2 linked regions of the Macaca mulatta genome follow. The protein of the gene in region 1 interacts with the protein of each later gene in a biochemical or structural test. Links are inferred from orthologs where the notes say so. Each region holds a gene or a part of one and is shown in the gene's direction. Other genes may lie near its edges.

What was found.
Region 2: the proteins of BIRC3 (region 1) and UBE2V1 form a complex in vitro, tested with the Homo sapiens proteins (2 studies listed by BioGRID). The link is inferred for Macaca mulatta from reciprocal best matches to the Homo sapiens genes BIRC3 and UBE2V1.

The regions. Positions count from the first base shown.
Region 1 is NC_133419.1:103,206,213-103,209,647, forward strand, and holds the end of BIRC3 (baculoviral IAP repeat-containing protein 3), read left to right. Parts: intron 1-1,146; coding exon 1,147-1,401; intron 1,402-1,946; coding exon 1,947-1,988; intron 1,989-2,094; coding exon 2,095-2,288; 3' UTR 2,289-2,918; downstream 2,919-3,435. UniProt on the Homo sapiens protein: Multi-functional protein which regulates not only caspases and apoptosis, but also modulates inflammatory signaling and immunity, mitogenic kinase signaling and cell proliferation, as well as cell invasion and metastasis.
Region 2 is NC_133415.1:102,962,447-102,966,194, reverse strand, and holds the start of UBE2V1 (ubiquitin-conjugating enzyme E2 variant 1), read left to right. Parts: upstream 1-932; 5' UTR 933-950; coding exon 951-972; intron 973-3,748. UniProt on the Homo sapiens protein: Has no ubiquitin ligase activity on its own. The UBE2V1-UBE2N heterodimer catalyzes the synthesis of non-canonical poly-ubiquitin chains that are linked through Lys-63.

The DNA.
Region 1 (3,435 bases):
GACAAGAAGGTAGTCATTGACAAATAGGGTTTAGTATTCAAAATGCTGTTACTGCCTTTCCCTGCTTACTATACAATATTCAGGTAATGGCAATATGTCTAATTTCTGGAAATAATTAAAATTTCAACTTGGAATTTTAAAGAAATTTTATGGGCCGGACACAATGGCTCACACCTGTAATCCCAGCACCTTTGGAGGCTGAGGTGGGCAGATCACTTGAGGCCAGGAGTTCAAGACCAGGCTGGCCAACATGGTGAAACCTTGTCTCTACTAAAACTACAAAAAATTAGCTGGGTGTAATCTCAACTACTCAGGAGGCTGAGGCACAAGTATAGCATGAACCTGGGAGGTAGAGGTTGCAGTGAGCTGAGATCACACCACTGCACTCCAGCCTGGGTGACAGAGCAAGACTCTGTTTTAAAAATGAATAAATAAATAATAAAAGAAATTTTATGGAAGAATACTTTAAGAAAAAATTGTTTTAATTATCTTGATTTTATCTTTCCCCAATTTACCTAGATTGAATTGAAACATCAATTTTAATAGGTTCTAAGTTTCATTTGGTTAAAGGCTTAGCAGTATTGCAAAATGATTGAAAGCACAGTACATGACACCAGACTACCTCAGTTTGATTTTTGCTAGTTGTGGTGTCCTTTGGCAACTTACTTGCCTCACTGTGGCTTCATTTTCTCATTTGTTAAATGAGGCTATTTGGACCTACCTCAAAGAGCTGTTGTGAAGATGAAATGAATCAATGTGTATAAAGTTCTTAACACAGTGCTCACTAAATGTTAGTCCTTACTATAATTATAATTATAATAATTATTATTATTATTACAGCTTTTTGAGACAGGGTATTGCTATGTTGCCCAGTCTGGTCTCTGACTCCAGGGCTCAAGTGATCCTCCTACCTCAGCCTCCTGAGTAGCTGGTGCTACAGGCATGTGCCACTGCACCCTGAATTATAATTATAATAACATTATTATTAAGCACAGGAGATGAGATACCCCTAAACCTAGCAATCAATATCAATGCCTTACTGATTATGAATTAAAGACAGTTTTTATTCTGTTACATATGTAGGCCTGGAAGGAAGTTTGTGAGCAGTGTTTGAATATGTTTATGTTTGTCTTCTTTTTTATAAAGATGATTTATTATTAATCCGGAAGAATAGAATGGCACTGTTTCAACATTTGACTTGTGTAATTCCAATCCTGGATAGTCTACTAACTGCCAGAATTATTAATGAACAAGAACATGATGTTATTAAACAGAAGACACAGACATCTTTACAAGCAAGAGAACTGATTGATACTATTTTAGTAAAAGGAAATATTGCAGCCACTGTATTCAGAAACTCTCTGCAAGAAGCTGACGCTGTGTTATATGAGCGTTTATTTGGTGAGTGGTAGAAAATTATTTTTTTAAATTTTCTAAGTCAATTGAAAATATGATCTTATTAATAACTTATGATTATTGAAAATAATTCAGGCTGAGTGTGGTGATGCATGCCTGTAATCCTAACACCTTGGGAGGCTGAGGCAAGTGGATTGCTTGAGCCCAGGAGTTTGAGACCAGACTGGACAACATGGCGAGACCCCATCACTACAAAAATTTTTTAAAAAAATTAGTTGTGATGGCGTACACCTGGTAATCCCAGCTACTCAGGAGGATGAGGTGGGAGGATGGCTTGAACCTGAGAGATAGAGGCTGCCATGAGCTGTGATTGTGCCACTGCACTCCAGCCTGGGTGACAGAGTGAGACTCTGTCTTGAAAAAAAACTCAATCAAATTTATAGATATTAATTGCATAAAAAGATTAAAGACTTTTGTTGCCTTGACATGAGTATTTGGCCAAAGTCTAAAGAGTTCATTTTTAAAATATATTCTGTAGCTAAATATTAACCTTATTTGTCATAGTAATGCTTTTTCTTTTTCTCCCTTAGTGCAACAGGACATAAAGTATATTCCCACAGAAGATGTTTCAGGTAATAGTATTAATATTTTAAACCAATAGAAAACATTGTCTATTTTCTTGTTTTTTTCATTGAAGAAGCAAATTGCCTTTTATGAAAAATTCTTTCCTCTTTCTAGATCTACCAGTGGAAGAACAGTTGCGGAGATTACAAGAAGAAAGAACATGTAAAGTGTGTATGGACAAAGAAGTGTCCATAGTGTTTATTCCTTGTGGTCATCTAGTAGTATGCAAAGATTGTGCTCCTTCTTTAAGAAAGTGTCCTATTTGCAGGAGTACAATCAAGGGTACAGTTCGTACATTTCTTTCATGAAGAAGAACCAAAACTTTGTCTAAACTTTAGAATTAATTTATTAAATGTATTATAATTTTAACTTTTATCCTGATTCAGTTCCTTAAAATTTTTTATTTATTTACAACTCAAAAAAATATTGTTTTGTGTAACATATTTATATAACTATATGTATCTAAACCATATGAACATACATTTTAGAAACCAAGAGAATGATAGGCTGTTGTTCTTATGAACAAAAAAGAGATAGCACTACAAACACAATATTCAATCAACATTTCAGCATTATTGAAATTGTAAGTGAAGTAAAATTTAAGATATTTGAGTTTGCCTTTCAGAATTTTGAATATTTTGGCATTGCATTAATACTGGCAACATGAAGCCAGATGTGGTGGTGTGTGCCTGTAGTCCCAGGCTGAGGCAAGAGGATTACTTGAGCCCAGGAGTTTGAATCCATCCTGGGCAGCATACTGAGACCCTGCCTGTAAAAACAAACAGAACAAAAACCAAACACCAGGGAGACACATTTCTCTGTCTTTTTTGATCAGCGTCCTATACATTGAAGGTGTGCATATATGTTGAATGACATTTTAGGGACATGGTATTTTTATAAAGAATTCTGTGAGAAAAAATTTAATAAAGCAACAAAAATTACTCTTATTCTTAATAGCTTTATTTCTATGACGTTGGATAGTTTAGTCACTCCCAGACTCTTTCCATACTTCCTTGAAGCCTCTTAAATATTGAACTACAGTTTATATTCTTTCCTATAAGATGCTTCTTCATTGACACAGAGCACGGGGTCAAGACACTATAAAGTCTATAGGATTTTATGGAATGCCTGAGACAAGAATCAAACAGTCCCTTTAGTAAGTTTGTTTATTCATTTGTCTATTGATTCATTCAAGAAGTCTGATGCCAGACCCGCCTATTGGAAGAAGGTCTGAGTTTTATTCTTACCTCTTTGGTATTAATTCTGAAACTTAGAAAGTACACTGGTTAGCAATGCTTGGGACCAACAGGTTGTTCTGGTAAATAAATCTGTTCCATGTTGTCAGTGCAACAAAATGTTCCCCTCTGCATTACGTTTTTGGTACTCAACATGTCCAAGTCATAACTCTCTCCTTTGTTTCTTATAGAGGTATTAGGTCTTTAAGACTAGAAGTAA
Region 2 (3,748 bases), on another chromosome or scaffold:
CCTTTGCACAAGCTGTTCCCTCTACCTCCTCATTGTTAGGGTCTCTGTTGAAATACGACCACGTTAGGAAGCCTTTCCTGACCATCCTCCGCTGCCCTTTTCTTGGTTTATCTCTAGCCTATCAGAATTGTAGTTTCCTGTTTATTTACTTGCTATCTATGACTAGAATGGAAGCCCCTGAAAGCAGGGATTTGCTTCTTCAGAGATGTCTATCCATCCCCAGCTCCTAGCACAGTGTCTGGTACATAGTTGGTGCTTAATGTTTGTTTGGTTGAATGAATGAATGAACGAACGAATGAGTGAATGAATGAATTGGGCAGATGGTTAGCAAATGTTTTCCCTGCCACCTTATTGCCCCCAAATCATTTAGCTGCACCCACTTCAAGCCTTCTCTGGCCAGGGAGCATCAATCCTAGAAGCCAGATCATCTGACCTGGAGGGTGACGATTCAAATTCAAATTTGAACCTGGAGGTTAAAATTCTGTCTGTCTCTGCCACTTAACAGCTGAGTTTAGATAAATCGTTTAATCTCTCTCGGCTGCATTTTTCACATTAATTCCGACCTTGTGGAGATGTGGTGAGGATCTAGATAGGAACTAGACAGGAAAAAGCCCCAAGTGAATTCGGCGCTTTTGTTTGAAGCTATCTTTTCTTTTTCTTTCACAATCGCGCCTTCCCAAGCCTCGTCACCCCTGCCCTTCTCACTAAGCACGTCACAACCTCCCTCGCACCCGATGTGGGGGGACTTGCAGGTTGCTGAGCCCTCGAGCACGCAGATATTTCCTTTCTCTAAAAGGGAAGGAAAAGAGCCTCCCCGGCCTCGGGTCGCGCAGGTCTCCGGAGCGGGCGTCAGTGGCGGCGTCTGTGCGTGCGCGCGCGCCTGCGCATCAGGGCCAGGGGACGGGTGGGGGCTGAAGAAGGGGCCGGCCTTCAAGCAACAGCGACGCAAGATGGCAGCCACCACGGGCTCGGGTGAGCGGGGGCGCCGGGCCCGGCCGGCCGAAGGGGCATGGGCTTGGGCCGGGGGCTGGGGACTCTCAAAGGCTCCTGCAGGGGGGCCAGGGTCCCCGCGCCGCCTCTGTCCGGTGGGCTCCGCTGCAGCCACGGGCAGGCGGTGGCCGGAAGCACGGGCGGGGGGCTGAGGGGCCTGTGGGCGGCGCGGCGAGCCTTAAGGCTCCCCCGGGAGGCGTGAGGGCCCCGCTGCGCTACCTGGGGGAGCCGGAGTGGGCGAGGAGCGAGCTCCAAGGCACTTCTGAGGAGACCGGGGCTGGCGACTCTTAAGGGGCGACCAAGGGGTTCCTTAGAGGAGGAGGCGCCCCACAGCGGATGGAAGTCCCGTACTGGGTGCCAGGGGTGCGGCTGAGGGGGGGCCTTGGGATGTCTGCAGGGGACATCAGAGGAGCCCCTCAAGCTGGATGGGAGGAAGGAACGGGATCCTGAGGGGGTGACTCGAGAGGATCCCCTATTGGTTGAGGGGACGGCTCCGGCGTTAGTTTTAGAGATGGGGTTAGCCGAGGAAATAGCTGTGTTGACTAGAAAGGAGGAGCCTTGGAGCGGCTGCTTTTGGGGAGAATTAAGGAATCTCCGCATGATAAGTGAGAGCGGGGGGGAAAGGATTCAGATGCCACAGGGACTTGATTGCAGTGATAGTGAAATGACCCCATCATTACCAGTCTCCTATTCGAGGATACAGATGGATTGCTCCAATTTCGCTTTCAGGGGACAGGTCCGTTGGGGCAATTGGTGGAAGCCTCTGATATTGAATGAGGAAGAACAGGTGAATTGGGAATCCCGAGGATGTCTCTTTGGGAGTGGGGATTCAACTGAGGGAAGCCCCTGAAATGAGTTAGTGGAAAAGGTCGGGTTCCAGAGATGTTTCTTGTAAACGAGATAAGTCTCCTCTTTTTGAATTGAGTGAGGGAAGCATATCCTAGAAGTGTCTCTTCTGTGGAGACGCTCACTCTCATCCACTCCTTTGATAATTGGGACAGATATGTGGGTTCAGCTCAGAAGTTCCCCACTGGCTGATGGGAGTAGGGAGGTGAATAGATGAAATGGACACTCTTGGGTGAGGCTGCACCCTCGGGTGCCTGGCAGTGAAGTTGGCCAAGGAGGTGCTCTCAGATGGGGTGAAGATGGGTTACCTCTGATGGAGGAAGCAAACAGAACCACAGTGTTCCCCACTGTGGGGCTGCAGGGACACGAACCTGAGTACGGCAGTCATTGGGGTATTTAAGGCCACAGCAGGGGCAGTGTTGGGAAGGAATTGGTGATCCATGAGAAATAGGGTGAGGGAAATTCTTTACAGTGTTGCTCCTCTGCGGTCTCAAGGAGCCATACTTGTCTGATGGTTGGGGTGAGAATAAAAGAAATTGAATATGGGAGATCTGACTGAAGTGACCCACCAGAAGCTGCTGCCTTTTGCATTTAAAACAGTGGGGTCTTCTTGCAGCATAGCGGAGACCATGAATCCTTTTACTCGATTTTGGTTTCAGCTGGAACAGTGCTGAGTCAATTCATTTACCAAGACGCTGCCCCAGGCACTCCCAGAAGAGAGATTCTGAGTCAGGCCAGACTGCTGGGGGAAACTTCTCACCAGAATAACACTCGTACCAGGTCGTAATGAAGCAAGGGGCCCAGTGTGCTGGCGGTAGCCAGCAATAAGGTGCTGTTGCAGCTCAGCCCTGCTTGCAGTCACTCGGTTGGCTACCTACAATCTGAGTTAACAGGTGCCCGATTCTAACTTCTGGAGACCCTGACAGTTAAAAAGTGAGTGCTTCGTAAATGGCTATGGCGATCAGATAAAATGTCAGCTGCTCTCGAGTGGAATACAAGAGCATTTGGCATGGTTTAGATAACATAGAACAGGCTTTGAGGTGCCCTAAAATGGACTTCCCAAAATTCTTTTTGTCTGTTTATTCAAAAGATATTTACTGAGGGCCTATTATGTCCCATTGTGGATAGCAAACAAAACAGACATAGTCTGTGTCCTTTGGGAGCTTCCATTCGAGTCAAGGAGAGAAGGCTGTTAAGGGGTAAATAAATAAGACAATTTCAGATAGCAGTAAGTGCTATGGAGGAAATTGTGTGATATGATAAAGAGTGTCTGGAGAGATGGTCAGGGAAGGCTTCTCTGAGAAAGTGACATTTCAACTGAGGGGAATAATGGAAAGCGCCAACCCTACAGTGTCACAGGTAGGAGAGAGGGTGGACTGTGAGTGCAAAGGCCTTGTGGTGGGACTGAGCTTGGCATGTTGAAAGAACAGGATAAAAGGCCTTAGTGTGCAAGCAAGGCTTGTTAAAGAGATGAGTTGGAGAGACATGGCTTTGGATTTGACTTGGTGTGAGGGGAAGCCATCAAACAAGTATCTGGTATGAAGTAGGCAGTCAGTAAATATTTGTTGAATGAATAAATAAGAGTCTTAAAAAGAGGAGTATGGCAAGATCTGACCTAAGTCCCTAGGCAGTGAAAAGAGTGCAGGGTGCTAAGCAGACCTTACTTGGGTTAAACTAAAATGAGTGTACAGGCCTCCCTGCTTTCTAACCCTGAGAAGTCTTCCAGGTGTGGTCAGGGCCCTGAGGCCTTCCTTAGTCAGGTTTAGAGTGAGGCTCTTTATTAATCTGTGCTTCTGGTTGCCAGGAAACAGCTGTGAAGCCTTTGAGTTCCTGTAAGGGCTGAACTTAGTTTTTTATGGTCACTGCTTTCAGCATTTGGCTACACCGCCTTCCCACTTCCTTTGGTTCTGCA